Caenorhabditis elegans: one gene and its partner. The protein of the gene in region 1 purifies or fractionates together with the protein of each later gene. This does not show direct contact. Each region holds a gene or a part of one and is shown in the gene's direction. Other genes may lie near its edges.

The links.
Region 2: the proteins of Y22D7AR.7 (region 1) and zig-11 fractionate together in Caenorhabditis elegans (co-fractionation; one large-scale study listed by BioGRID). This does not show direct contact.

Annotation. Positions count from the first base shown.
Region 1 is NC_003281.10:1,678,442-1,693,741, reverse strand, and holds Y22D7AR.7 (Tyrosine-protein phosphatase domain-containing protein), read left to right. Parts: upstream 1-5,642; coding exon 5,643-6,691; intron 6,692-6,700; exon of another isoform or gene 6,701-6,752; intron 6,753-7,065; coding exon 7,066-7,250; intron 7,251-7,292; coding exon 7,293-7,497; intron 7,498-8,465; coding exon 8,466-8,846; intron 8,847-8,900; coding exon 8,901-9,046; intron 9,047-9,111; coding exon 9,112-9,263; intron 9,264-9,926; coding exon 9,927-10,112; downstream 10,113-15,300. Other genes in the region: srd-64 (Serpentine Receptor, class D (Delta)), read left to right, coding at 842-982, 1,027-1,384, 1,432-1,601; Y22D7AR.14 (uncharacterized protein), read left to right, coding at 3,715-3,718, 3,764-3,859, 4,724-5,598.
Region 2 is NC_003283.11:1,871,967-1,888,532, reverse strand, and holds zig-11 (Ig-like domain-containing protein), read left to right. Parts: upstream 1-6,292; 5' UTR 6,293-6,342; coding exon 6,343-6,397; intron 6,398-7,608; coding exon 7,609-7,735; intron 7,736-8,689; coding exon 8,690-8,904; intron 8,905-8,959; coding exon 8,960-9,030; intron 9,031-10,144; coding exon 10,145-10,418; intron 10,419-12,159; coding exon 12,160-12,332; 3' UTR 12,333-13,047; downstream 13,048-16,566. Other genes in the region: cct-7 (T-complex protein 1 subunit eta), read right to left, coding at 13,359-13,643, 14,344-15,054, 15,612-16,133, 16,192-16,281.

The DNA of each region.
Region 1 (15,300 bases):
TTTTTATAGCATTTTAAGGCAATCTTAGAGCTTTTTTAGCATTTTATTTGAGTTTGTTAAGAATTTTTAGAGAATTTTTACAGCTTTTTAGAACATTTTATAAGCGGTTTAGAAGCAATCGGAAATTTTGGCTTTTAACCAATTTATTAGCCAAAAAATTGGAAAAATTGAATTTTGGTCAATTTTTTTTGCCGAAAAATCGAAAAATTTGGAATTTTGACCGAAAATGTCTGAATATTCAGGAAAATGAGAAAAGTTTCCAAATTTCCTCAAAAAACTGAAAAAAATCGACAATTTTAGTGGAACAAATCGATAAATTTTTTTTTGAAAAAAAAAATCGGGGTTTCCTAAAAATTTTCCGTATTTTTTGAAAAAAATGTTTTTTTGGTTTTTTCTATTTTTTGTACTCAAAAAGCTCAGATTTTCGAAAAAATTTTTTTTATTTTCTCTGGAAATCCGCATTTTTAGTCAAAACAATCGAAAAATATGCTGAAAATCTATAATTTTTCCAAATTTCCCATAAATTCCAAAAAAATACGCAATTTTATCAATTTTTTGTCTGAAATTTCAAAAAAAAAATCGATTTTTCTGAAAAATTTATTGATTGCCTAAACTTCAAGACCTCCATTAGACTCAAAATAAACTTGTGAAGTCACATTAGTCCCACCAAATGGCAGAGATTTTTATGTGCTCCGCAAAAGCACTGCTAGCTTCACAACAGGCTTTCCAGCTTGCAGTACCCATTCTAAGTGCCAGAAAACGGCCTGTGCTTCAAAATCTTTCTTAATTGAAGGGGCTGGCAATAAGAAGAAACTTCGAGAATCAATTGGAAAAATTACAGACTTGTGGAATAACCATGGGTTTGATCAATCTCCACACGCTCTACTACCGCACCATATGCCTTAAATCCTTCGACCCGAAGATGATCAAACGGAGGAACCTCCTATTTTTCTGGCATTACCTAGTTCCCCTGGTGTATTTGGTAAGCATTGATAGCCTTTTTTTTAAGGCATAGAAATTTTACAGGCCATAAAGTTCATCCCTTCCCCGGACCATCTGGCAGTTCACAATGAAACTCGGACCCTTCACCCGGATCTAGATTATACTCCCTATCTGAATTTCGGAGGGTACAGTCAGGCTCAAAAAGTCTTCCTTGACAGGTCGGCGATTGTTACACTTATTGCTATGTCGTACTTCCCAATAATTGGTAGTTACTGGAAGTATCAGGCGATGAAGCTTCTGACGCCTCACATGTCTCCGAATACATCGGAGACTACTAGGGACATGTTTCGGAAGTTGATTCGGGGATTGAACTTTCAAATTTACCTTCCATTGCTCACATATGTGCCAATGGTTTTCTTGTTTCTAGCGATTCAAATTTCTGGTAAGGGAAGTTTGCTGATTTTCAGGCCGTCAAATTCTTTATTTCAGGCCGTCAATTCCTTATCACCCTAAATGGCACAGGTTCCTGCCTTTTTGACCCTATTGTTCAAATCTACTTCATCACGCCCTACCGAGAAGCCGTCGTGAGGTTTTTGGAATGCAGGCCGGTGCGATTTCGGTCCAACGTTGTAAGTTGGGCTTCTCGTGTGATTTTTTAAAAGTTCGTGCAAAAAGCTTTGATCTGCAAAACCCATGTTCCTATTGTACCCTAAAACATATAGTATCCTGTAATGCAAATAAAGATTGATCATTCTCAAAACGTTTTTACAATAGCCTTGGATTATGTTAGACCACTTTATTGAATTTTACAAAATTCAAATTTCAAAAGTTTCAAAAATTTGTTCAATTTTTGAGAGATTCCGAAAAATTCCAGAAAATTTACAGAAAATTCGAAATCTTTGCCAAAGTATTTTTTAAAATTTCCAGAATTTTTCAGGACAAATTCCAGAACTTCCACGAAATTTTAATAGTTCCAAAACGGTTTCAAAAATTGGCGGAACTATTTTCAAGTTATTAAAAAAATGTCCAATGTTTTCAGAACTTTTTCGAGAAGTTTCGGGCAGGGGTGAGGTGAGAATAAAGAGAAAAAGAGAAACTCCCAGCAAATTCCTAAAAACCCAGAAAAAAAAGAAGGAAAAAAGGACAAAAAATCTGGAAACATGGGAAATTCCGAAGTTGGGTTAAAAATCCCATAAACAGGGCCGAAAGGGACAGAAAAAGGGAAAAAATTGTGAAAAAGTTTGAGAGTTGAACTAAAACTAATTTTTGCTGAAAACTTTCCAAATCGTTCAATCGGGCAAATTTTTTCTCAATTTGCCAAAAATTGTCGGCAAATCGACAGTTTACCTGTTGGCCGAATTGCCGGTTTTTGGAAGTTTTAAATTCCGGCAATTTGCCGATTTGCCGGAAAAAAATCATTTATTGCCCCTACCCCTGGTTGAATAGTTTGAAAGGCATTAAGGTTGAAAAAAAAAACGAAAATGACGTGAATATACATCTAACAGAGAAAAAAAGCACATTTAGTTATTCTTGAGTTATTCTTGCGTATGGCTGTGAGATGAATCGATATTGTCGGTGTGTCTGTGTGCACCTAGCCAGCTAGCTGTAATAAACACGAACCGTGTGCACTCGGGTCGACAATTGTGTATAGCGACGGACAAACTTATTTTTTGCCAATTCAGTTTACCAATTGTTATAATGCCAATAGCAGGGGTGTGCGGCAAATTTGCCGAATTTGCCGAATTTGCCGTTTGCCGAGCTCGGCGAATTTGCCGTTTGCCGAGCTCGGCAAATTTGCCGAATTTGCCGAATTTGCCGTTTGCCGAGCACGGCAAATTTCAAAAAAGTAGATTTGCCGAATTTGCCGAGCTCGGCAAATTTCGAAATTTGCCGCACACGTCAAAAATTTGACAGTACAATTTTGACTAAAACTATTGATTTTTTAGCCAAAAAATTAGTAAAATGACACAAAATTGAGCTATTTTGATGCTTAAACAGACATACTACGCGGAACTTATTCAGAAACCAGATGTGTGTTAAGAATTCAGTAGTTTTGGTGCTCCAAAAAACATAAAAAATATCAAATTTTTCCGAGTTTGTTAAGCACGGCAAATTTGCCGAATTTGCCGAGCTCGGCAAATTTTGAGATTTGCCGCACACCCCTGGTCAATAGTTTTAATAATGTTTTGCAATTATTATGATTTATATAATTTTTATAATTTTTATATCTTTGAAAACTTCGAAAGCTTCTATTATTTCCTCGTGAACTGTTACTTTATAGCAGGCGTGGGCGGCAATTGCCGTTCGGCAAATTGGCAAATTACCGGTTTTCCGATTTGCCGGGAACATTTAAAGGGTTTTTTTATAAGACGGAAAACACTTAAAACTGCGCATTTTTGAATTTTTCCCGTTTTTTCTACATATCTTCATAGAATATGCTTATGTTTAAAAATAGACGTTGGAAACTTTATAGGATGCGTTCAATTTTGCCATTTAAAATTGAAATTCTGAAACTTCCAAAAAAAAAAAAAGTGCAAAACCACAATTTGCCGAAAAGTTCCGGCAAATCGGAAAATTGCCGATTTATCGTTTTGCCGAATATTTTCAATTCCGGCAAATGCCGATTTGCCGGAAAAATTTGTTTGCCGCCCACCCCTGCTTGCCAAGAATGAAACGTGACATTTAAAAATTTAAAAATTTCAAATTTACGTGCTCGATTTTGCTCATCAAATTTGCAAATGCCTCATTGCTCAAGTTTATAACTATTTCGCAATGGGTGAGTTTTTTTTTTCGAAGTTTGCAGGATTATATTTATTTTCAGCAGCTATTTATAAATCAATTGGATATATTCTGATATTTATTGGTATTGTGGGAGCCAACGAGAGTCATGACCGCTTATCACCACGAGCTAAAGATTGTAAGTAAGCCGAGCAGCCGACACTGGTGGAGGTTGTTAACAAGTAATGTGTACATAATGTCTCATAATGTCTCAAAATGTCTCATAAACTCACAACTAAACTCTCATAAACTCACTCAAAAACACAAAAAACCCTCATAAACTCACATAATGTCTCAGTGCATCTCGGTTAAACTACAGTAGTTGTGCAGTAAGGCTACAAAAGATCAAGTAGTTCCAAGGTGCATAAAATGAAGACATTTAAGTTTTGGAACTGTAGGATTACAGTAGCGTCACGTTGAATCTACGATAGTGCTATTATGAACAAACATTAATGAATTTATCAATAAGTATTGATGTAGTTATTCTGGAAGAAATGTATTCGAACAAAAGAGTAACTATTAAGCAACATTTTAATATGATAAAACCTAGAAAAATTCTACAAGTTTTCTGTATAAACGATATGCAAGTCTATTATCCGATATCCGATGTTGCTCGGCTAATAAGTTTTAAGGTCTCGGTAAGGAAAACTTGTAGAATTTTTCTAGGTTTTATCATATTAAAATGTTGCTTAATAGTTACTCTTTGGTTTGGATACATTTCTTCCAGAATAACTACATCAAAACTTATTGATAAATTCATTATTAGAAAATATCCGAAAAAATATCCGCCCACCTCTGATAGTGACAACGTTGTCAGGGGAGGCACAATATTTATAACTGCAGTGATAAGGTACACTTAGTTGCTCTAGCAAAGTTGGAAAAAAAAACCTTTTGTTGCAAGACTTTTCAGTGCAAAACAAACCGATATCTCCTCTATTAGTTGCATGCAACAAAAATAGACAACAATACAGAAAATATAACAAATAACCTGAACCAATTTCAGCTAGACTATATCCATATGTCCAACAAATGATTGCAATATCCCGAATTACAAATGGAATTTATCTTCAAAACGGTCTGCATTCCGGAACTATTCCATCTGATCAACTTATATCGGAGCTTGTTAACTTTGGAGATATTGCGCCTTCTCAAATCTTGGATATCAAAATGGACTCGCTGACTAATGTCATTGAAAAAATCAATAAAATACAAAAGGCAAGTGATTTTACTATGGCGGATCGGTTGTTGAAGCTGGTATCTGTTGCGGAGAAAGCAGAGTGGTTGAATGCTACATTACACAGCTTGGAAGGATATCGTAAAGAATTGAAAGATTTAGAAAGCTCTGGTGTTGACTGGACCCAACTGGGCATGTTTATTCGGACTCTGTTCGGATTCGCAGACTTTGTGGAACTTCTTCATGCAGGGCATGATAACTGGATAAATGTAAATGAAACTGCTTTGGATATCGAAAAATTGTCAACCTTCAATTTGTCTATGTATGAAGGTCTTCCAAAAAGACCTGAAATTGAAAACGGTTTGAAATTTTTCCCAATTCTAAAAAAATCAGTTGAAGTAACTGAAGAGTATGCCTCAATACCTTTCTATAATGCGTCTAAAAATGAGCCGGCAATTGTAGAACTTATTGCAAACTTGAAGCTTTTCAAGGAGGTTGCGGAAAATTTGAATAATATTTTTGGGCAGACACATGATAATTTCAAATATTCAACCCATATTGTCGGATTAATCAATGGATATATTGATTTAATAAAAATTCATGATGATTTGACGGAAGAATCTATTCATCCTGTAGTCAAAGATGAGGGCTTGAATTTTATAAAAGGTTTAAATAAGTTTTACATTGGAGAACTCAATTATTAAATGAATCTAGTGATAATGCAGTCAGTGATATATTCAAATTAAATATGACAAATATGGTTCTTTCATCAAAGTTTGTAACTCCTCTTACGGAAAATATTCAAGAAACTCATATCTTCAATAAACTTGATGTTTTCACAACTGTTTATTACGACGCCATTACAATCAATTTATATGCTGTTGAGCTGTTGTCTTTCCTATGCAAATTTCACGATGAATACTTGAAAGTATCAAATGAACTTAAGATGAATGAGAATAAGTTGGCAAGGATGGTGGAGCTTTTAAAGAAAAATGACTTGGATCAAGTGCGGAATTCATTGGATTTTGAAGAAATTAACTCCATGATTGTCAAACTTAGAGATACTCTGAAGTTCGGCATCATAGGTGACATGATTGAAATGGCTCCTTATTTTTTCAAAAATTTTGATACTTTTCTATCGGATTTCAAAAAACTCATCGACGCCATGAAAGCTTTAAGAGAAACCAAAGAGTTCAAGTATATCAAGCCAATTATCACTGCTCTTAAGTACTTTCAAAGCACAAATCTGAGCAAGGAAAAACTGGCAGAGCACTTACCAAAAATCCAAGAGAACTTGAGGAACCTTCAAGAGTTTATCAACAACACTGAAAATTTCAAAGTCTTTGTGCGATATGATCTATCGGATTTTGGTGATATTTCTGAACATTTAATGGTTATTGGGAAAGCGACACGTGGAATTGTATCTATGATGAATGTTATGGGTGAGAGGGATGCTTTTGACGAGTTGTTAGCTTCGGTGAAGAGCTATGGAAAATCAACCGAAGAGCTTAAAGCTTTGGAAGATCAGTTGCCAAAAATGTTCAAGGATCTTGGAGCATTTGAAAACAGTGTGAGATTCCATTACTCCGAAAAACTATCAGAATTCTATAAACTTTTCGAAGCAGCCGCAAAAGTGTCAGGGATCACATTTGACCTTCAAAAATTGAAAAGCTTGCCCGTTTCACAGGAACAGACGACAACGATGCGACCAGAGACAACAAGCGAGGAGGGCCAGACTACAAGGATCTGGAGGAAACGGAAGCATAAGGGAGCTGAAGGGCCCGATGTCTTTGTGAGGTTAGTAGATAAGCCCAAGCCTAAGCCTGAGCCTAAGTCCGAGCCTAAGCCTAAGCCTGAGCCTAACCTTTGAAAAATGAAAAACACGCTATAAACCCAAGCCTAAAGCTAACGCTCGCCACTGACGCCAAGGCTAAACCTAACTCTCACTAAGGAGAGCATAAGCCTAAGCCTGAGCCCAAGTCCGAGCCTAAGCCTAAGCATAAGCCTAATCCTAAGTTTAAACCTATAAAATTTTCCGGCAAATCGGCAATTCGGCAAACCGGCAAATTATCGATTTGCCGGAAAAAAAGGCAACTGCCGACAATTTTCGGCAAATTGTGTTTTTGCACTTTTTTGGAAATTTCAGAATTTCAATTTTAATTGTTTTCCAGATTCTACCCCTGGTCCTATGTTGTACTGGGATTGATCTACCTGCTTATTGCATTCATTCTTTTTGCAATCCTACTCTCCCTCTGCGACCCTGACGAGGATAAGGAGAAGAAGCCAGTCGAATATCCAGTGATGATGAAAGGTATTCCGTATTCCCCACAAGATGTGGAAGCCCAGCGTTTTAAACGTGAGTTTCTCTCAACTATTAATTAAAACTAGAAAATTTCAGAAGAAATTCCACTTGATTTTGTAAAGAATATGATCGTAGGCTTCTACAATAAGGTCAGAAAGTTTGAGAAGGATGAGAAGCTGACGAGCAAGAGCCCGACGGAGGTTTTGAAGGAATATGTCACGAAACTGTTGGCCAAGGATTCGGAGAAGATCAAGAGCGTCGGAATGACAGATTACGTGAAGAAGCACTCATTGGAGCAGAGGTAATGGGAAATATTCTTTGCAAGGCGTGCGCCAGTTAGTGCAGATCTGGGCAGCCGACATTTTACGGTTTAGATTTTGTAGACTTGCATCCGACACCTTCCGGGGCTCTAACGAGAAATACCATGGGAGATTAGCAGCCGACACTTCACGGGGCCTCTATGAAAATTTAAATGAAGCAGTCGGCATCTTTCAGGTCCACACTTTGGGAGTGTATAACTTGCAGCAGACATACCATGGGTTTTAGCAGCTGACACATTTCGGGCGCATCGATACGCACATTGGTAAAACTAGCAGCCGACACCTCGTAGGTTTGGCAGGAAGCAGCTGACATTTTACTGGCATAGATCTACCATGCGTAGTTCTCTAGAAATTAGAAAAGCGGCCGACACCATACTGGTACACGCTCTTCGAGCGTGGAATTTGCAGCGGACATACCATGGGTTGCTGGCACACACTCTGGGAGTACGCAATTAGCAGCTGACACGGGACATTAGGAAGAGTTTGATCAAGCATCCGACATTTTACTGGTTTGTCCTGGCCACACTATGGAAGTGTGGAAGTTGCAGCGGACATATCACGGGTTTTAGCAGCCGACACAATACGGGCACGTTTTGCAAGCAGCCGATACCTCGTGGGTCTTTGTTAGTAGGCAGGCAGCAGCTGACATTGTACTGGCTTGGATCTACCGTGCGAAGTTCTCTAGAACATACTATGGGTTTAAAGCAGCTGACACTAGCCGGGACATTAGGAAAAGTTTGAACAGCAGCGGACATGTTCCTGGCACACACTCCGGGAGTGTGAAATTTGCCGAGTACATATCACGGGTCTTATCAGCCGACACATCACGGTCACGTAGATACATAACTTGGTTTTAAAAGCAGCCGGGGGGTCTTAATTACTGGGTCTTAATTAATGGTCCCTTACACCACACGACTCTGAAGCTTCTTTACTCCAATTTCTTATTAAGAGAAGAACTTCCACTGGTCATGGCAACCCGTGTACCTCTAAACGTCCACGGATCCCGCTTAACATCCGACTTCTTTCATGCCAACCGAATCAAGTGTCCAAATGGCCTCCAACTCATTCTCACTCAATCTCCTCTACACAAGATCCTTGATAAAGCATCCACAGTGTTCAAATTCTGGTGGGCAGTTCGTCAGGAACGTGTCACCCATATTGTCATGCTGGGACAGGTGAATGAGGAAGATGCGAACTGGAATCGGATGTTCTGCAAGTACTTCCCGGAAAGTGCTGATGGGATTGTAAAGATCGGAGGTTTTAAGATTAGTTGCTGTGATATGGAAGAGGATGAGGATGTGGAAGAAAGGACACTTGTGGTTCAGTACGAGTAAGTTTAAATAGTCAGGTTTTAAATTTCCAAATATTTTTTTGAAAAATTCAGAAAAGAGAAAGAGTTCACCGTAACCCACCACCTCTACAAATCCTGGTCAATGTGCTCCGTCCCCGAGAACTCGAAAACTTTGCTCAAGCTCATCAAGAATGTGAAGTGTTCCAAAACCCCGGTTATTGTGCATGGAATCTCGAGGAGTATGATTTTTTGCCTGTAGGTTTTTAATAGGCAGGCGCGCCTACAAATGTTGAATCCGTTTCAGACATTGATCTTGGCTATCAAATGTTCGCGTTGAACAAGAAAACCACATTTGTAAGTGTTCTGAAATCTCTGAGATCTCACTGTGAAGGTCCGGTTATGCAGCCGATTGAGTATGGATTTGCGATCTATGGGATTTTTATGTATGCGTTTGAGGTGAGGTTGAATGGCGGAGACCGGATGTTGTCGGGCGCTGGCCAGTGCAAAGTAGCAGCAGACAGTTTGCGGGGTTGCTTTTGAAAACTTGCAGTGAACACTTTGCGGGTTCTAGCGAGAGCTCACATAGGACAAGCAGCCGACACCAAACTGGTTTACTTTGAGGGTTGGAAACTTGCAGCGGACATACCATGAGTTTTAACTGTCGACACTCACATCCCGGGGCTTTAGGGCAGCAGCCGACATCTAACCAGTTTGGCCACACTATGAGTTAGAGACTTGCAGCGGACACTACAAGAGTCTCTGCAACCGACACTTTACGGGCCCATAGTTACTGTCGCCTTCCTTCTATCTTGGAGCAGCCGACACCTTGTAGGTTGGCAAGCAGGAGCAGCCGGCATTTGATTGGATCTACTAACTAGAAGTTAAAAAAAAAAGTGGCCGGCACATTACGGGCGCGCCATGTCACCCCACAACTGGCGTTGATCAGTGATCAGTGGTTAAAAAAGCAGCGGACACATTACTGGTTTGGTCTAACCAGCCTGTGCTTTTTGGAACTTTGCATCCGACACATCACGCGCTGTCGCTTAAGCTTGCACCAATTGACACACTGCCAACACTTCCACAACTTTCTACTCCCCAGCCTATATCTCAAATTTTCAGGCCTACGACCCAACTGCCGTTCCAGACGATATCACAAAAATTATGAATTACCTGACGGAAGCCTTCACCACTTGGTTCAAAATTGATGGAAAAGTTAAACGAGATGAGACACGGAAGGATAGATCAAGTGAGTCTGAAACGAATGGAATTGAAGATGAGTCTGTCAAGGAGGTCAAGGAGGAGTGAACTATGAACTTTTTTGAAAAATGAATTTTATTAGATGTTTTCGGTTGGAAGTAGCTTTATATCTGTAATTGTTGAGGGGTGAAGTGGAACAATTTTACAATGAAGCTGATAAATTTTCTAAAATTTCCATTCCAAAACGGAAAAAACTAGCTTCAAAAAATATAAATCTTCAAAAATCCCATACGGTCAATCTCACGTAAATTGCCAAATATCGAAACATCATTTGAATTGTCATCAGAAAATAAATCGATATTTCAAATAATTGCTCCATATTCTTTACCATTCGACAGCACATAGGATTCAGTAGAAGATAACAGATTCGAGGCTTGTTTCAATCAAATATGAGTGAGTTTATTTTATTATTCAGAATTTCAGTTAATTTTTAAAAACTTTCAGAATTATCATTAATCATTTTGAACCACTTCTTCTGTTTGATTACATCTGGTCTTCCACTAGTCAATGGTTTAAACAAGAATATTGCTACCAATTACAGTCGTCATGCACGTGCCTCTGATTTTTCTAGTTGAAAAAAATTTGAAATTTTGAAAAATACCAAAGTTATGAGGAATTTAAGAAAAATTTCCCTTTTTAAGTGGTAAAAGTCACAGAGGAGCTGTTCGGGTTGCTTAAAAATTTTGTTTTAAAAATTAAAAATTTTAGGTTTATGAAAATATGTTAAATATTCAGAAAAGATGTGAAAACGTTGCAAAAAAAATTTTTTTGGAGTTTTTTTTTGAAAATAAAATTTTTCTATCAACTTCCAGAAGTGCTATCAAATTTTTTATATTTAAAAAAATTTTCGTTGGAATAACACCAGTCTCTGCTGAGTTATGAAATCTACCAAAATTTGCACTAAATGTTTTTTTTTCAAATAAAAATCTAAAAAATCCCTCTAAAGTACAGTACCCGCAATTTTGAACCAATTTTCAAACCCTTCTACCTTTTTCAATTTTCAATATTTTTTTGCAGATATTTTATGCATAATGGAGAAAACTGTTTTATTTATTCAACCAATATATAAATTCTAAATTCGGGTAAAATTTTCCACCCCAGCAACCCGAGTTTCGGTGAGTAGCGACTTGCCCCTTGTGCCCTAGCACCCCTCTTATCACCTGATAATTGTTATCAGCTATCCGTTATCCAATTCCACGTGGTTCATGATCATCTGTCTGTGTATCTGTGTGTGTGTGTCTGCACTCTCTTGCCTACCCATACTCTCTCGCCACTCCCCAAACCTCTTCGATGCATTTTCCCAGAAGTTTTGAGGCGTGTTTACTCATTCTTCACACATTTTTACGGGGTTTTTAGTTGTAAAATGTGTTGGATTTGGTTATTTATTTGTAAAATAAGACATTTTGAATAATATTAGCGAAAAAAAAAATTTAGTAAAATTTTTGAAAAAAAAGGTGTTTTTTTTTGAAAACAATTTTTTTTGGATTAAAAAACATTTTAAACTTTTTTATCTCTGAAACTAAAAATGTTAGAAAAAAGTTGTTAACTAATAAAATTAAGACCTTGAAATTTTACACATTTTATCAGTTAAACAATTGTATTAGGCTCCGCCCATTTCCTAGTTACAGGATTTTTTCGAAAATAAGTGCAAATTTTGGTAGATTTCATAACTCAGCAGAGACTGGTGTTATTCCAACGAAAATTTTCTAAAATATAAAAAATTTGATAGCACTCCTGGAAGTTGATAGAAAAATTTTATTTTCAAAAAAAAACTCCAAAAAAAATTTTTTTTGCAACGTTTTCACATCTTTTCTGAATATTTAACATATTTTCATAAACCTAAAATATTTAATTTTTAAAACAAAATTTTTAAGCAACCCGAACAGCTCCTCTGTGACTTTTACCACATAAAAAGAGAAATTTTTCTTAAATTCCTCATAACTTTGGTATTTTTCAAAATTTCAAATTTTTTTCAACTAGTAAAATATTTACCACATATTTCTGCATATTTTGTTAGTTGACAACTTTTTTGTATCTTTTTTTCCCCGCGGAGATATGAAGGCTTGACGTTAAATGGCCAAATAGGGCGAGAGAGCAAAGGAGAGAGGAGACGCAGAGAAGGAGGGCACGCTGGCTGTCTGCGTCTCCTCCTCTCTACTCTCAAACTTTAAAGCCTTCTATCTCGGCAGTCAATTGAGCTACCAAAAAGTTTGCAACTAACGAAATGATCGAAATTTTAAGGGGAATCTTTTCGCAGTTGGCTGCTGCTCTATAAATCTGATAATTTTTGAGATATTGCAGAATTGCCAAATTTTTTTGTGAAAAACACTTTCTTTGTATTATTCCCAGTAAATTTTTAGTCTCTCGTCACTCTCTCTCTTTCGCTACCTGCGTCTTGTTCACACCCTCTTATCACCCCATTCACCACACTAATAAATTACAAAACCAGTCCTTTCCTCCAACATTTCGTCTGTCTGTCTCTCTGCCACTCTCTCCTACCCCGTCACTCTCTCACCTGTCTTTCCCATTCTGCGTCTCTTCGTTTCCGTTTTACATTGATCATCAGTTTCCCCCCTTTTATTGTTTTCCAACTAATTTCTGCCCATTTTCGGGTGCGTTTACATGACGACAACGGATTTTTTTTGTTTCCATGTTTCTTTGGCCGAAAACTTTCAGATAGTTTTATAAAATTTCAAAATTATCACTTTTTTAAAGTTTTTCTCAAATTTTTTTAAAAATAAAACTTTTTGATAGCTCATCTGGTTGTAGAAATAGAGGGCTTCAAAGTTTATGTGTAAACGACAATGAGAATAGTGTAAAGAAAGTGTTTTTTTACAAAAAATTTGGAAATTCTGGGACAACTCAAAAATTAGTATATTTATAAGAAAGTTGTCAACTACCAAAATATTCCTCTTGAAATTTTGAATATTTTATTAGTTAAAATCTTCTTGATAGCTCAATTGGCTGCGGAGATAGAGAGCTTTAAAGTTTGAGAGTAGAGAGAAGAGGAGACGCAGACAGCTAGCGCGCCCTCCTTCTCTGCGTCTCCCCTTCTCCCACACTCTCTCACTGCACTGACGGTCGCAACTTTGAACGCTTGTATCTCGGCGGGGAAGAGAGATACAAAAATGTTGTAAACTAACGAAATGTGTAAAAATATAGGAGGAATATTTTCTTAGTTTGCAAATTTTTAATAAATTGCAAAACAAAAAAGTTATGATATTTTCATTAGAAACGTTTTTTTCTAAATTAGTTACGATTGCAACATTCTTTAAAACTGATAGTTTTGAATTTCTATGCATTTTCTTTTATTCAAAACGTACAAAAAATGTATAAAAAATGTATTGACCGTTTTCTGAGCAGAGACGCAGTCGACGAGAGTGCTCTCGTCGTCTGCGTCTCCTCGCACTCTCTCACTCTCTGGGCCTACTTTGAACGCTTATATCTCGTCTTGGAAGAGACCTACAAAAAAGTCGTAAACTAACAAAATATTGCACACAAAATGTTCAACATTTTATCATTTATAACTTGTTCATATGTCAAAAACTAAAAAAGTTGTGCAAAGTTTCCGATTCCCCAAAACCCAAAAAATAAAAATGACTGTTTGAACTCATTGTTTTTATCAGTAATTTCTGATTTCACCTGACATTAGTTTAATGTCATGAAGTACTTGATTCACATTCAAATGTTGATAGGATTATTATTTAAGTACCCCATAAATATGTCAAAAAGTGTCGTGTCAAGGATATTTCAGATTTTTTCTTTCAAAACCTTCCAAATTGAAAATTGTGTTTTCCTCCTACAAAATGATCAATTTTTAATGAAAAATAAGCAAGTATAAAAAGCGTCCAAACATCACCTTTTCCTTATCAAATATCCGTTAGTTTTTTGATCTCTTTATTGAAAACCCGTTTTTTTTTCTTCTAGTTGGCAGTTAGTTGTCACTAAAACTCTTGTAACTTGGTTATTTTTTGACATATAAAATTTTTAAACTTTACACAATATTTTTCAAGTGTTTTTGCATATTTTGATAGTTAACAACTTTTTTGAATCTTTTTTCTCCGCTGAGATATGATGGTTTAAAGTTGGGAGGTCTAGAAAGTGAGAGAGCAAAGAGGGGAGAGGAGACGCAGAGAAGGAGGGCGCGCTGGCTGTCTGCGTCTCACCTTAAAAATTAGCAAAATTTAAATATTTTTAATTTTATTTTGAATAAATACCAAATTCGCTAGTATTTGGAAGATTTCGCTTTAACACACTTTTTAAAAAGTTAGTGAATTTTCAAGAAATTTTCAAGAAATTAATTTTTTACTCACATAACTTTGTAGGTTTTCAAAATTTTAAAAAATTATCAACAAATAAAATATTTTTCAAATATTTCTGCATATTTTGTTAGTTAACACCATTTTTGTATCTTTCCTCCCCGCGGAGATATACACGTTTAAAGTTCAGCGCCTTCACAGTGAGAGTGAGAGAGCAAAAAGAGGGGAGGAGACGCAGAGAAGAAGGGCGCGCTGGCTGTCTGCGTCTCCTTCTCTCTACTCTCAAACTTTAAAGCCCTCTATCTCCGCAGCCAATTGAGCTATCAAAAAGATTTTAACTAACGAAATATTTAAAATTACAAGAGGAATATTTTTGTAGTTGTCAGCTTTTCTATAAATCGATTAATTTTTGAGATATCGCAGAATTTCCATATTTTTTGGTCGAAAAACACTTCCATTTTCAAATTCCAAGCTATTTGGTCCAGTCAGTTGCCTTCGGATCAGAGATGATGATTTACCGATAGACACCACATGTTCCAATATCTTTTGAGAGAAAAGCCGGCACCCACGCTTACGGGGCCACGGGATCACACAAAGGTTTACGACTTGGACAGATTGCGTGTTTCAAAGAACAGAAATTTGATGGTTTTAAATTTTTTCGATTTTTTGCTCTATTTTCATGCAAATTTTAGGGTTAGAAAAGAGCCGTCTTTGAACAGTTTTTCATTGAAATTTACAATTTTTTCTATAACTTTGTAACACTAAACGAGTCATAACTTTGTTAGTTTTTCAGATTTTTAAATTGTCTTAATTAATAAAATATTCAGCAGATATTTTTGCATATTTTGGTAGTTAAAAACTTTTTTGTGTCTTTTTGCTCCGCAGAGATATAAACGTTTAAAGTTAGGTGACCCAGAAAGGTGTTTTTTCTAGTTGGCTTAGTAGCTAGTTGGTCACTAAAACTCTTGTAACTTGCT
Region 2 (16,566 bases), on another chromosome or scaffold:
TCAATCTTTGCCATTTTCCTGTCTTTCTCTATCCGCCCGCCCGCCGTCATTTTTTTTTCTTTTTCAATTTTCGATTTTCTCCCAACAAAATTGCCCTGGCAAAGGGAAAAGGAGTTTCGGATTTCCCCCTTTTTGGCTTGAATTTCGCCAATTTTCTCGCCCATTTGTGGTCGTCGAGAGAAGTTTTCCAGCGTTTTGTTTTCGAGGAAGTATCGAGAAGTGAAAAGAAAATTAGAATGCACTGCTGCTGTCGGCGCCTCAAAAAAGAAAAAGAGGACGGCAAAAATCTCTGTCGAGTTCCTTTTGCCAACATACTTCGTTTTTTTCTTTCTTCGTTCGTCTACTGAGATCAGAAAAATGGCTCCTGGAGCCCATTCGCTCTCCCTCAGTTCACCCTCTGAGATCAGACACGGCTTTTAGGCCATACGTCTCATTTCGGCTTGATCTACGTAGATCTACAAAAAATGCGGGAGAAGAGACGCAGAGATATCATCTGATTTCGTAAGGAGGACTAACGGCTAGAACGATTTTGAACGTATAGACCCAAAATGAGCTCAAATGAACGAATTTCATAATGAAACTTCTCAAAAAAAAATTTCAAAAATTTTTTCATGCCGGTTTAAACGTTCGAAAAAAATTACACTGATTTTAGCTAAAATCCCGAATTTTGGCCATTTTTCCGTGTCACATCTGTCTGAAGTTGACTTTTTTTGGAATTATCATCCTTTATTGTATATTTTGGAGGGTTTATCTCATTCTATTTCGTCGATTAAGGCACATTTAAAGCCGATAGGTAATCAAAAATCATAAAAATTGATTACCTATTGGATTTAAATGTACCTTTATCAACGAAATAGAATGAGATAAACCCTCCAAAATATGCAATAAAGGATGATAATTCCAAAAAAGTCAACTACAGACAGATGTGACACGGAAAAGTGAACAAAATTCGAGATTTTAGCTGAAATCTGTGTTATTTTTTCGAAATTTTGAACCGGCATAAAAATTTTTTGAAATTTTTTTTGAGAAGTTTCATTACGAAATTCGTTCATTTGAGCCCATTTTGGGTCTATACGAGTGTGCTGACGTCATATTTTTCTGGGAGAAAAATTCCCGCATTTTTTGTAGATCAAGGCCATTTGAGTTGTTTCTCACACTTTCAGAGTGAGAGAAAGATGATATCTTTGTTTTTCGCTACAATAGGCGCGAAGTAGGCGAAGAAGAACGAAAAAAAAAAACAAGGAAAAAACAGGAAAATGCTCGACAGCCAGAGACTCAGTGAGCAGGGATTTTCCCTTCGTGCACACACACACACACATGCACACAACAACTCAAAAATGGCAAGTAAGGGTGAGATGATGTGTGTGTGTGTGGGGGTGTCACGGAGCACTTTTTACATTGCAACAAAGTTTCGATTTCGTCGCTCGCTTTTCTCTTTCGGCTCCGAATTTGCTCTTTTTACTCCCTTGTTTTGGGAAAAAGGCATATCAGAAGAAATCACAGGGAAAGAGATTATTCGTTTTTCAATCTAGATGTTGTTTTTCTACTTTTTTGTTCCGGATTAGAGTTTTGCTGTTTTTCGCTTCTAGTCTTGCTCGGAGGAGTCTGGGAACGCCTGTCGTGTGGCCGCGAACGGAGAAACTCGGCCACCGATTTTTTTTCCTTTTTTTCCATTCACAAGTGTTCCTACTCCTCTATTTCTAGAGAATTTGAAGTGACATCAAAAAATTGGTGGCCGAGTTTTTTTTTTCTGAAAGATCTGCAACCGCGGTTTGAAGGAACACGCCGTTTATCTGAGTTGGTCTCGCAACGATCTCCGTGGTAGAATGTGAATCTCCAAAAAAGTCATCACTTTTCTGGAAGCTTTCAAAAGCCCCAGGTCTGCCGGTTTTTCTGGAAAAAAACCAAAAATTTTTTAATTTCCGACACACCGGCAAATTGCCGGATTTGAAATTTCCGGCAAATCGGCAAATTGTCAGAATTGAAATTTTCGGCAAACCGGCGAATTGCCGGAATTGAAATTTTCCTGCAATCCGGCGAAATGCCGGAATAGAAAATTTCCTGCAAATTGGCAATCCGGCAAATTGGTGGACTTGAAAATTTCCGGAAAATCGGCAAACTGGCGGAATTGAAAATTTCCTGCAAACCGGCAAATTGCCGGAATTGAAAATTTTTGGCAAACCGGCATATTGCCGAATTAGAAAATTTCCGGCAAACCGGAAAAATGCTGAAAATGAAAATTTCCGGCAAATTGGCGGACTTGAACATTTCAGGAAAATCGGCAAATTGGCCAACTTGAAAATTTCCGAAAAATCGGTAGATTGCCAAAAATTAAAATTTCCGGCAAACCAGTTAATTGCCGGAATTGAAAATTTCCGGCAAACCAGCAATTTGCCGGTTTTGCCGAACGGCAGTTGTCCGTAAACCGTAATCCAAATATTACATTCTGAATGAGAAATACCGATTTTGAAGTGCTTTCAAAAAAATTTTTCGATTTTGCCAAAAACGAAAATTTACGGTTTTCCAATTTTTCTGTTTTGCTCAAAAAAAAATCGAAAAAAAATTTCGGCGACAACCCCTGACGACCACTATTGTTGAGAGCGTGGCAAGACCCAATTAGAAGTAATGTGTGTTCCTTTAAAGAAGGAGTATCCTGAATGGGGAAATTGTTTTAAAATGTAGTATTCGTGCTCAAACTTACGAATATAACAACAGAAAAACGGGAAAAATCCGTTAACATTGAGCAAATCGCCACTAAAATCGACAAAAGCGGATGAAAGCGGATTAATTTCAAATTCCCGCGTGAATGAATCCTAGGCCGCCACTTGATTCCTAGGCCATATTCGTTCAACAAAAAATTGATTTAAATGTTATTTTTCAAACTTTAAATAATTTTTCTCTCTCAAAAAGTTTAAGAAAACTGAGAAGAAGGAATTGTATTAAGTACTTATTAAAAATACAATACACGACAGAATTAAAATGCGGACAATCCTCCTGGCCTAGAATTTTCCTAGTCAAATTATAAAGATTTTTCGCCGATTTTTCTGACTTAAAATGCTCAATGTTAACGGATTTTTCCCGTTTTTCTTTTGTTATATTCGTATGTTTGAGCATGAATACTACATTTTAAAACAATTTCCCTATTCAGGATACTCCTTCTTTAACGCGTCGTTCAACATTTCCCTGCATATCCCGTCCTACTACAATTATACAGAAAATAACTCATCAGACATGAGGCTTGGCTTGTTTTTCGCATCATCTTCCCGTCCCAAGGGACCGTTTTGTGGTGTTCCTCGATTCGCTAATCACGCTTGTGTGTGTGTGCTTCATCTCTTTGATTTTTCATCATTTACGGGAGACTTCGAAGCAAGGGTGTCGATTTTACGATTTTTGAAAAAAAAAATCGAAAAACGGTGAGAATTCGAAAAAAAACTACGAGAATCTTGATAGTTTCTAAAGATTTTTTTCTCTTCCATCGTCAACAACAGCAAATCATCGAGTTTTCATAACTCTTTTTTTGTCGAAAATTGCTCTCTTTTTGCTCTTGTGTGCCCTCATCGAGAATGCATGAGGCTCAGCAGTTCTGCTCTGACGGATCAGAAGAGAAATGTATCTGTTGTAGTACAACAATACAATTTATCGAGAGATCTAATGTGTAAATTGTTATGGTTACATGGAAAACCTTGAGGCGTCTTCTGTCTCTGTGAGATTTTATCTCTTCTGACACGCCGCTGCCACCACCCCGCCAAAAATAAAAGAAAAAACTGGCGTTTGATTTTCGAAAGGAAATTGGGAGGAATTTGGAGCAAGACAAGACAATTTAGCCGAATCTAATTGTTCTTGTCTCTGCCAGAAATTCGCATGTCAATCGGATTGAGGAAAAAAAAGAAAAGACCACGGAAGATTTTTTTCTTCCATTTCTTGAATAATTCCTTCCATCCCGCCGCCGGCTTATTAAAAATGAACAATAAGTTCAAATTCAAATTTCAGTTCAAATTTATGTTCTCCACACACTCTTGCTTCTTCGCACGAAAAATGGCTCTTTGGCATGGCCGGCTCTTTTTCGTTCGATTTTCCGTCGACATTTTTGTGCCGTTAAACGGTTTGGTTTTGATGGAATAAGCTCAGAATAGCCCCAAACAGGGGTGGGCGGCAAACGATTTTTCTGGCAAATCGGCAAATGCCGGAATTTAAATCTCCGAGAAATCGGCAAACCGGCAAATTGCCGGAATTGAAAATTTCCGGCAAATAGGCAAATCAGCAAGTTGTGGGAATTGAAAATTTCCGGTCAACATTTTCTTGACTTTAGAATTTATTTTACCTTCTTATTACACGAACACAAACTTCTGAGAATGCGTATTGCGCAACATATGTGACGCGCAAAATATCTCGTAGCCAAAACTACAGTAATTCTTTAAATGACTACTGTAGCACTTGTGTCGATTTACGGGATCGCTTTTTGAAAATATTTTCTTTTCGAATTTTGACACCGATATTCAATTTTCATCCGCTTTTTCGTATTCTTTTAAGATTTTTGTGCTTATTTTCAATATTTTATCCATTAATAAATGATATTAATTGAAAAACGACAAATATTGGCTTCATTTTGATGAGGAAACTCTTATAAACATTATTCTACATTCTTTTCCGTCTATTGCAGGTTTTTTCCAGATGAAACCCGACAGGAAATAATTTTAAAAATACGTTTGTAGACGTTTCCTCATCAAAATGAAGCTAATATTTGACGTTTTTCAATTAAAATCATTTATTAATGGATAAAATATTGAAAATAAGCACAAAAATTATAAAAGACTACGAAAAAGCGGTGGAAAATCGGTGTCAAAATTCGAAAAAAAATATTTTCAAAAAGCGAGCCCGTAAATCGACATAAGCGCTACAGTAGTCATTTAGATAGTTACTGTAGTTTTCGCTACGAGATATTTTGCGCGTCAAATATGTTGCGCAAAACGTATTCTCAGCATTTTTGCGTTTATGTAATAAATGTTTGGGGTTTTTCCCATTTCAAACCACCAAGTTCAGTTCTACACAGTTTTGCAGTTTCTGTCTTCTCTCCGTCTTGTTACTATTTGCTTTTTGTATATATATATATATATGTTTGTATGCTTTTTCCATTTTTTTTTCCTTCCCGCTCTCCGCTGATATTTCTCTGCGTCCCCACGCCGTTTTTCACCGTTTTTTTTTGGCGCTTTTAGTATCGAGGAGCCTCCGTTATCACTGAATTATCAGTTTTTGGGCAGTCAGAAAATGAGAAAAACAGTAGAGAATATTGCTGTTGATTTCTTTTTTGTTGAATTATTTTTCATTTTTTATTAAAAGAAAAGCGATTTTAATTTAATTTTTACGTATTTTCAAAATTAAAAATTATAAAGAAAAAATTCAATGAAAATTTATTTTGAAATTAAATAATAGAAAAACTGTGTTTCGAAAAAATAATTTACCGTACTCCTTCAAGACGCACAACACTTTCCGGCACATGGGTCTCGCCGCGCGCTCTCCTGTTTCTTTTTGAATACGCCGGTGAGCCTTTAAGCATACTGTAGAAAAATATTTCTAATTTTTTCTCCTAAAAAATTGCCTCTCTCTCTTTTTGGAGGGAATTTAGCGGAAATTAAAAAATCGCGTCTTTTTTGCTTTAATTGATAGACCCTATTGACCGAATATACTTGTAAAAAAATAGAATAAAAAATTCTAAACTTATAAGGATATTTTAAATTTTTCAAAAATCAAAGAAACGACCGAATTAAATTTGAATTCCCGCGCAAGTGAGTGACGTCATTTTTGATATTTTCGCGTTTTCTGGCTAAATTTGATGGAATATAGTCCCTAATGACCGAATATATAATAATAAAAAATTCGCGTTTTTTCGGCCCAATTTACAGTTTTTTCTCGATTTTTTCTTTTAAATTCGATTTAAAACATCATTTGCCAATATTTGAAACAATTTTCAACAACCCGACAGAATTCGGCTGAAATTTTAAAATTAGCCAAAAAATCGGCAATTTAATATTTCTTTATAAATTTTTTTTCTGTTTCGAATATTGGCAAATGATGTTTTAAATCAAATTTAAAAGAAAAAATCGAGAAAAAACTGTAAATTTAGCCGAAAAACGCGAATTTTTTATAGTTATATTCGGTCATTAGGGACTATTTTCCATAAATTTTTGGTTTCTTCATTCTCGCGGTTTTTTTTTCCTTCTGAATTTTTTGAAATGAAAACCCCATTTCACACTGCTTCACCATTTCACCGTTTTCCAAATAATTTTTATTTCAGAATCCACGTCGTCATTAGTCTTCTGCACCGTACAGAAGAGCCAATCAAGAATGTGTGGCACAACGGTACTTGCCGCCACGACACTGGCAGTGATATTAGCACTGTGTAAGCCTTTTTACTTTGTTGTTTTTCACGCGGCGGTGGTTTTTTGTGGTGGTGAGCCATATGATAAGAGGACGGACACAATGCACAAAAAAAGCCTATAAGAAAAGAACAACGTTCTGTATATTTGCACTGAGTCACACACACACACACACACGGTTATACAAGCTAGGCGCAACTTTTTATTATTATCCAAACGTGAAATTTTGCGATTTTTGGGCCTAAAAGCGGTACCAGATCATTTTTTTCGTTCAGGGAAAAAACGAACAATTTTCCGATTTTCCTGAAAATCGAAAAAAAAACAAGTTTATATTGATGAAAAAACTTAAGAAAACATATAAATGTCTTCTAAAATGAAGAAATATGACAGAAATTTTAAGGATTTTTTTTCTTCGAAAAATCGAAGTCTCACAGAGCGGTTTTTACTACGTGGCCGTAAAATAAGAAATCTCGGCCACCTTCATAGCATGGATACGGAACATTTTCTCAAAAATCGCCATTGTGGAACTATAGAACCCTCTATCGAGAACATTCTCGTCAAGTTTCAGAAACATCCCACGTCAAAAATCCCAGATAAATCATTGGCCTAGTTTTTGATTTTTCTAGGCCACGTAGTAAAAGCCGCTCTGTGGTCTGTCGAAATATCTGAAAAACGAGATTTTTTCAAATTTCGAAAAAATTTACGATTTTGGTTTTTAAAGACTTTAATATTAATATATAGACTTTAATATGAGCATTGGATTTTTTCGATAATATTTCGTTTCCCGATTTTCGAATAAAAAAATATATTTTTTTCCATAAAAATAGTAATTCCAAAAAATTTTTTTTTCAAAATTTATTATTATTCAGTCGCGAAATTTCGCACTTTTTCACGCCAAAACTACGGTACCCGGTCTCGACACGACAAAAAATTGTTAAATACAAAAATATGTGCGCCTTTAAAGAGTACTGTAATGTTAAACTTTCGTCGCTGTGGGCTCTTTTCTCGATTTTTAATAGTTTCTCGATAAAAAATATATAATTTTATCGAGAAACTATTAAAAATCGAGAAAAAAGCCCACAGCAACGAAAGTTTAACATTACAGTACTTTTTAAAGGCGCACACCTTTTCTTGAATTTAATAAAAAACTTTCGTGTCGAGACCGGGTACCGTCTTTTTGGGACAAAATTCGAAAATTATTTTTAAAAAATTATTTTAATTAAAAAATTTTCAGATGCGCCCAGCGACGCTGCCACCAGCCAAAAATACACTGCGATGGGAAACCTGCAGACAGTGATTCACGGAGAATCGCTATTCTCCACCGACATTGATGAGAACCGAAAAACGACTGGAGTTTTGTGGTTCGTACCACGGAGGGACAAATTTTCGAAATTTTGAAAATTTGGCAGTTATCGAGTTCAAAAGATATTTTTTTTACACTTCTGAGCATTGGATTTTTTCGATAATATTTCGTTTCCAGATTTTCGATTGAAAAATATATTTTTTTCCATAAAAAATAGTAATTCCAAAAAATTATTTTTTCAAAAAAAAACACTTTTGCCATTCTCCACATAAAACGCGTTTTCCGACTTTCAAAAAATTGAACTTCTCGAAAAAAAAACTTTGTCGATTTTTCCAAAAATAAAAAAAAACAATTTTAATATTTTTTTTTTCAAAAAAAAAGTATTCTTTCGATTTGAAGGTGGGGTACCGAAATCTGGGAAATATTTTTAAACGAGTCCAAATTTTCCCCTGATTCCGAATATCTAATTGAAAAAATTCAAAAAAATTTCCCTGGTTTTATATTTGAGCTTGAAATCGTGAATTTCATTTGCGTACCCATAAGAATTTTGAAATACGCGCCCAAATAAATTCTCCTTGAAGCGCATTTGCCCCATTCGATTTTCTCCATCAATTTTCATTTCTTTCAGGTTTCAGCTATTTTCATTCATTTTTGGTCTAATAAAATGTTCAATTGACACGAAAAAATATATTTTTCGAAAAAACCCATAAAATACGACAAAAATGAATGAAAATAGCTGAAAAACTGAAAAAAAGTGAAAATATGGAGAAAATCGAATGGGACAAATGCGCTCCAAGGATAATTTATTTGGGCGCGTCTTTGAAAATTCTCATGGCTATGCAAATGAAAATCGCGATTTCAAGCTCAAATATAAAATCAGGGAAATTTTTTTGAATTTTTTCACTTAGATATTCGGAATCAAGGGAAAATTTGGAGTAATTTAAAAATATTTCCCAGATTTCGGTACCCCACCTTAAAAAAAGTTTCCAAATAGCCGTCTCAAGTTTTTCAGGTGTCAAGTACGCGAAGGCACAATTCACTACAAGCCAACGTGGGCTCGATTCGTTCGAATTCGCGATCAAAAGCAGTTCCGAGCCGACATTGGACTTGACGACGATAAAGCGTATTTGCATTTTGGACAGTCGAAGGCCGACGCGTCGGGAAAATATCGTTGTGAGATTAAGGTGCCCGACAATTCGATTATCATTGGAAACATGTTCGCTTATTGTGGGTTTTTTTTTCTGGAAAATTTTTTTTTTAATTTAAAATCTTTTTTTTTCAGCTCATCCAGTTGTGAAGAACAATGAGACGTGGGAATTGAAAAAATCGGAATCCGAGCCGTTTACTGTGGTGGTGAGTCTGAAAATGCAAATTTTCGGGTCTTGCAACGCGCAAACAATAAGTCTTACTGTATTTTGTGTCGATTTACGGGACGCGCAGAAGAATGACTTTTTTTCAAATTTCGACGTGGAAACGCGCTCCACGGCCAATTAAAAAAATTGCAAAAAATCGAAAAACGAAAATTTTTTTTTTGATGTTTCGGTTTTTGAAAAACCAATCGAATTTTTGGAAATTCGAAAAATCTAAAATTTTTCGATTTACCCCAAAAACATCGAAAAATGACTTAACGTTATTACAGGAACACTTTATTTTGCCCGTAATTTGAAAAAAAAACATAAAAAATTACCCGGTGGCCGAGATTTCTATTTTCTAGACCATTTTTTCAAAAAATCAAGAATTTTTGAAAAATTCCTAACTTTAGAGGTTATTCCACTTTTCTATTTCATAAACACAAAAATTCTGATAATGCGTACACAACATATTTGACGCGCAAAATATCTCGTAGCGAAAACTACTGTAATCCTTTAAATGAGTACTGTGGCGTTTGTGTCGATTTAAGGGCTCGATTTTTCGAAATTAATTTCGTTTCGAATGGTGATATTCAGTTTTCCGTGGTTTTTTTCATATAAATAAAGGAAAACTGACAATTCACAATTCGAAACGAAATTAATTTCGAAAAATCGAGCCCGTAAATCGACATAAGCGCTACAATAGTCATTTAAGGGATTACTGTAGTTTTCGCTACGAGATATTTTGCGCTTCAAATATAATGTGCAATACGCATTTTCGAAATAATCGGTGTTTATGAAATAGAAAAGTAGAATAAACTCTAAAGTTACGAATTTTTCAAAAAATTCTCGATTTTTTGAAAAAAAAAATGGCCTAGAAACTAGAAATCTCGGCCACCGGGTAATTTTCTAGGTTTTTTTTTTCAAATTTCGCTCCAAGTAGATAGATTTTTCATACTTTTTCGTGAAAAATGCATGGAAAATTGCCAAGCGATGTTCCAATTCAAATTTCAAATTAAAAAAAAAACAAGAAAAACCTATAAAATTAGTCAAAACGCGGGCGGGAATTTAAATTATTTCTGCAAAAAATTTCAAAAAAAAAAACTAAATATTTTCAGGGCCCAGCCGTCTACGCGCCTCTCGACTCGGCCGCCCGTATCCAATGCCCCATCGTCGGCTACCCGGAGCCCCAAATTGTCTGGTATAAGGACAAGTTCCCGCTGGAGATTGAGGGCCGCGTCAAATTCACGGCCGGCGTGTTGAGCATCGAAGGAGCCCAAGAAGAGGACGCCGGTGTGTACCGTTGCGAGGCAACAAACCAGTTCCCTGTGCAAATCGACGGACCCGAGCAACATTTCGCCGTGAAACTCGATCAGGAGTTGCGAATCGGAGGTACTGATGGAGCCCTCTGATGTTTTGCTGGACGAAAAATACAGAAAAAAGGATTTTTTTTGAAATAGGACAAAAATGTTTTAGAAATTGATTTTCCGATTTTAGATATTTAAACTTTTATCGTTTTTCCGTCGAAAAAAAACACGGAATTCTGGCCTCCCTCATAAATCGAAATGGCAGAGTTTGCCGAACTAGGCCATTTTGAGTCCGCGAGATTTTGTGTAGTCCATGTGGAGTACACTACACTTTTCCACGCGTTGTCCGGCAGGCGATTGCCAATGGAGCGCGAAAATTCAATGAGAAAGGCCAGAACCCCGTGAAAAAATTATTCGAGAAAAAATTTAAATTTAAAGGTGGACTACGGTCAGTGGGGAAATTGCTTTAAAACACGCCTATGAGGTCACAATGACCGAATATAATAGTTAAAATATTCAAAAAAAATTTCTAGATTTTATATGATTTTTTGAAAAATGGAAAAATCACAATTTCACCTAATTTTTTTTGAATTTCCGCCAATTGGATTCGTTTGGTGGAGCGCGCTTGCACGTTTTTAAATTTATTTATTTTATTTATTGTTATTTTCCACCAATTTTTAATGTTTTCGTTGTATTTTTGCTTGAATTTTAGAGAAAAAGTCAAAATAAATGCAAATTTTCGATTAAAAAGCACGCTTACAGGCGTAAAAATGAAAAAAAGTAACGTTTTTAAACGATTTCAAACCTGAATTAATTAATTTCATAGATTTACGCCTGCAGGCGTGCTTTTTAATCGAAAATTTGCAATTATTTTGACTTTTTCTCTAAAATTCAAGCAAAAATACACCAAAAACATTGAAAATCGGTGGAAATTAACAAAAAATAAAATAAATAAATTTAAAAACGTGCAAGCGCGCTCCATCGAACAAATCCAATTGGCGTTAATTCAAATAGGAATTAGGGGGAAAACTAAGATTTTTCCAATTTTCAAAAAAACCTTATAAAATTTAGAAAAATTTTTTGAATTTTTTTATCGTGATATTTGGCCATTGTGGTACCATAGGCGTGTTTTAAAGCAATTTCTCCACTGGCGCTATAAAAATTTTAGAAAAAAAAAAAATTTTTTTTTCAACAATAGCTTCAATTTTTGGTCCCGTTTTCTTATTTATAGATAGAAGAAAATTATACTCTGTTTTTTTTTCTGGTTTTTCGATTTTTCGACTAACTCTGAAAAAAAATCCGAAAATAAGAAAACTGTTCCTCCAAAAACCAACTTTCGCACAATTTGCAGATACCCTTTAAAAAAATAATTTTATTTCGGAAAATTGATGATTTATGGTTTTTCATTTGAAAAAAAAATTTAAATTCAAAAAAAAAGTAAAAATAATTTTGAAAAGCCAACAATTTTTCGTTATTTCAGTTAAAAAATTTGAAAAAAAGTATTTTTTTGAAAATTGTCAATTTCTCAATTTGTTTCTTGTTTTTTAATTAAAGAAAAATTTAATTTTTTTAATTGCAAAAAAAATTCATTCGAAACTTTTTTCAAAAAACCTAAAAATTAAATAAATTTTTGTTGAAAATCGACAATTTCCCGATTTTCATTTGAAAAAATTTTAAATTGCAAAAATATTGGAAAAAACTTTTTTTTCAGCTAAACAATTTTAGAAAAAAATTTTTTTTTTTTTGAAAAATTGACAATTTCTCGATTTTCTTTTCTTGTTTTTCACAAAAAAAATGTTTTTTTTTCCTAAAAATCAATTTTTCAGATTCCTACGGATGGATGCTGCCACTTGCGATCATTCTCATCATCCTGCTCCTGCTCTTCCTCGTCATCTTCACGTGCCAGCGATGTGCCAAGTACAAGGCTGATCAGTATAACGTGGCGGATCGTGAGCGAGCTCTTCACAACGATCAAGTGCCGTTGAAGAATAGCGTCTAATTTCTTTCATCTCGGGTTTCAGAATGTCCCATGTCGTTTTGATCTCCGAAAATCGCGGGAATTTAGGAAATATTAATTTCTGTGAAAAAAGTTCCCGCATTTTTTTGTTGATCAAACCACCGTTGTGGGACATCCTGTCACCACTTTTTGTTTCGTAATTTTTTCATAATTTTGTAATGCTCAAAAGCTCCACCAATTACCCCCCGATATCCCTCACTGCCACCCACACTTATATGTTCCTTTAATCTTTTTTCGAGGCACCACGGTGTCAAGATCCTGTGGGATTCTGTGATCTACCATTTTTACGATGCTCCGATATTACGCTTGTCGTGCGCGTTGTTTATCGTTTTCCAGAAATTTTTCTTTCAAAAAAAAGGACAAAAAAAAAATTCTCAACACGCTAAACAACGCGCGCGATGCGTATAATCGGAGCATTGTTGCCTCGATTTTCAGAGATCTCGTTCTCATAGATCTTGAATCCGTGGTGACTCCTCAAAATTCAAGAAATTTCACTTTTCTCCCCGATTTATATGTAAAAGTAGGTGTTTTTGCGACATTTTATATGCATCTTAATCCCCACCCACCACCCCCCAACTTTGAAGCCGGTATCCACCCCCATCACCTAACTTCTCCGCTTTTTCTGCTTTTTCCGGTAAGGTTTGACCTTCTTTCTAATGGTTCTTTTTTTTTGAAATACTGAAATTAAAATTTTTTCAAAGTGCACTTATTCAAACAGAAAATTCAAAACGAAAACGACGGGGAGCGGTAGAGAAAACAAGCGGGTGGTGGACAATAAATCGGTGGGAAAAAGAAAAATTGAGAAAAAATTTAAAGTTTTTTGCAAGAAGCTATGATGAGAACGTTTGAGAGAGAGAGAGAGACGGGGGATCATAACAAAAGGTTTAATGAAAATGATAGAAAACAAACAAAAATTATGAAGAAAATTAAAAAAAAATTGCGCAAAATTTGAATATTTGAATACAGCAAAAGAAAGCAGCGAATGCACAGAGGGGCACATTGATCTCCTTATTGCCCGGGAAGTCCTGGCATTGCTCCTCCAGATGGTGTACGAACATTCTTCACCGTTTGATCGATCGAAAGAACGAGGCACGCGGCTTCGGTGGCAGCTGTGATGGCGTTCCTCTTCACGATGCTCGGCTCCCAGACACATGCGACAAGATTATCTCCGACGGCTTCACGATGGATGTCGATTCCGGCCCATTTCTCGCCTTGAGCATGACGATGTCTCAGCTTGTTCAGCACGTCGAGAGCATCGAGTCCGGCGTTTTGGCAAAGCTGGCGTGGGATGATCTGAAAAATTTCGGAAATTAGCTTTTTTTTTGGGTGTTTTTGGTGAAAAAAATGGATTTTTTGGTTTCTTCGACTCAAAAATACAAAGAATTTTTTCTTTAAAAAATGTTATGTTTTAGTTGGTTTATTACTTACAGCTTGAAATCTGCCTTAACTAACCTAAAAAACGGGAGAAAAACGACGAAAACCTGCAATTTTCGGGGTTTTGACTAAAAATAGCCAGGTTTTCAAGATTTTGAACTTTCAAAATTCCTTCATTTCGGCACATTTTAAGTTAAGCTCAAAATAGGTCTGAAAGTTAACAGAAATTGTTTAAAATCTTGAAAAAAGGTCAGTTTTCGCAAAAATCATATATTTTGCCAACTTTTCCGTATCAAAACGGCTGAAAATTTACTTTTATGCGATTAAATTGCATATTCTGGTCGTTTTTTCTTCGTTTAAGGCAAATTTAGAGTCAATAGGCAGCCTTACAGCTTGAGGGCTGCCTAAGCCAACAAAAAACTGAAGAAAAACGATAAAAACCTGCAATAAAGATCGATAATCGAATAAAATTTAATTTCCAGCAACTGGAAAACGGAAAAGTTGGAGAAATTAAAGATTTTAGCAAAAAAATCCAGTTTTTCGAGATTTTGAACTGTCTCATCACGAAAATCGTTCATTTCTGCATATTTATACTAGCACCAGTTTCTTCAATATCTACCTCGAAAGCCTGTCCATAAGCCATCCAGAAAGCTTGATCCTTGCCCTCAATACCCTTCGAATGCTCACGAATCAATCGGCTCAACTCCATCTCGATGGCACCTCCTCCGGCGACGATCGAATCGTTCTTCTTGGCACGACGAACAATCATGATAGCGTCGTGAAGAGATCGTTCGGTCTCGGCGATGAACTGCTCGGCTCCACCGCGAAGAAGAAGCGTACATGCCTGAGCTTTTGAGCAGTCCTCGAAGAAGTTGTAACGCTCGCTTCCGACTTGTTGCTCGTAGAATTTTCCGCACTTTCCGAGGACAGAGTCGTCGATTTGAGAGACTGTGGTGAGAACGCTTCCTCCGCATGCGGACATCAAGCGATCAAGATCGTCCTGTGGAATTCGTCCAGCACAGAACATGTCACGATCGGCGAACCATTGGGTAGCAACATCTCCGATTGGAAGTTTCGAGAGAACCACGTTGGCGCCGGAATCGTGAATCTTCTGAAGCTTATCGTAAAGAATATTCCACTCAGCGTCAACGACAGCTTGGAAGTCGGAAACGTTGGTCAGACGCATCTCAGCGTTCTCTTTCTCTGCCTTGAGCTCCAGCTCAATGTTAAGAAGAGCCACTTTGACATTGGAGTACTTCTTTGGCTGCATTTCGAAGCCAGCATAACTGAACGCTTTTTGGAAGGCAACTCCTTTGATGAGACGGGATTCCTGAAATTTTTAAAATTAAATTAAAAATAAATATTAATTAATTAAAATAGAGGTATTTCGCCTTTCCACTGAAAATATGCGGATTTTTCAGCTTAACAAATGTTTTTCCTGCATTTTACTAACAAAGCTTTTGGTAAACAGTGAAAATCGAGTTTAAAATGACTAGAATGAACATTTTTCGTCCAATGGTTGAGGAATGATTTTAAATTGAAAAAAAAATCAACGGGATTTTTCATATTTTCTAAATATTGTCCTATTAAAAATCGGTTTTAAACCATTTGTGACTTAACATTAGGGTCAAAATGGTTTAAAATCGATTTTTAATGGAAAAATATTTAAAAAATAAGAAAAATCCCGTTGATTTTTTCAATTTCTAACCATTCCTCAACCAGTGGACGAAAAAAGTTCATTTTAGTCATTTTAAATTCGATTTTCACTGTTTAAAAAAGCTGCTTTGTTAGTAAAATGCAGAGAAAAACATTTTTAAGCTGAAAAATCTGCAATTTTCAGTGGAAAGACAAAACACCGCGTGATAGACGACTTTTCGATTCACTAACGTGCAAATTTCCTCCGTTGACCTTCTTGATTCCGATCATGTTCAATGGAAGATGAGCATCCAACGTGTTCACAGCATCGACAATCATATTGGCGAAGAAAAGCCGTTCTTGACTGACGAGCTTGCTGCTCAACGTGGTTGCAGCACACTTCACAAGCATCTCACGGAGCTCCGTCTCGCCATTAATTTTGATTTCCAAATCAGCCAAGTTCTTCAGCGTCTTCTCGCAAGCTTTTCCGATGGCGCGAATGAGAAGTTGTGGATGGACACCGTCCTCGATGAATGGCTTCATTTGCTTCAGAATTTCGGCGGCCAAAACGACGACAGACGTGGTTCCGTCTCCGACTTCAGCGTCTTGAGAACGAGCGATATCAACCATTGTGGAGGCGGCCGGGAAGACAATATCCAAAAGCTTCAGAATTGTGGCTCCATCGTTGGAGATCGTCGTGGCTCCCTTGCTATCGACGATGAGCTTGTCGAGGCCACGTGGACCCAAGGTGGTACGGATACTGTCGGCGACAACCTGAAAAATACAGCATTTTAGGCATTTTTGACTAAATTTTAGAATTTTAGAAGCTAACTTGACAAGCGTTGATGTTGGAAATGATCTGACCCTTTCCCTGCTTGTTCTCAGTTCCGTCCTTGAGCAGGATAATTGGTGGGCGCATCATCTTGCTCTGAATTTGAATTATTAATTTTTAAAGCACGAGTATAATATTTTGAAATATTAAGAGCGATTAAAACGAGGGCAGAGAAGACAAAATTCGAAGATTTTGATGTTAAAATGTGTAGAAAGTCTAGAAGTATTATATTAATGAAGAAAATCTGGAAAATTCACAAAGATCCAGATGAAAATCGAGAAATAGTCCGACGAAAATATTCCTTCTCGAAACAATTCCCAGGAGCGGCGCGTGCTTGCGTCGCGGCTCGCGGCCACGGCCACCAGCCACAAATGC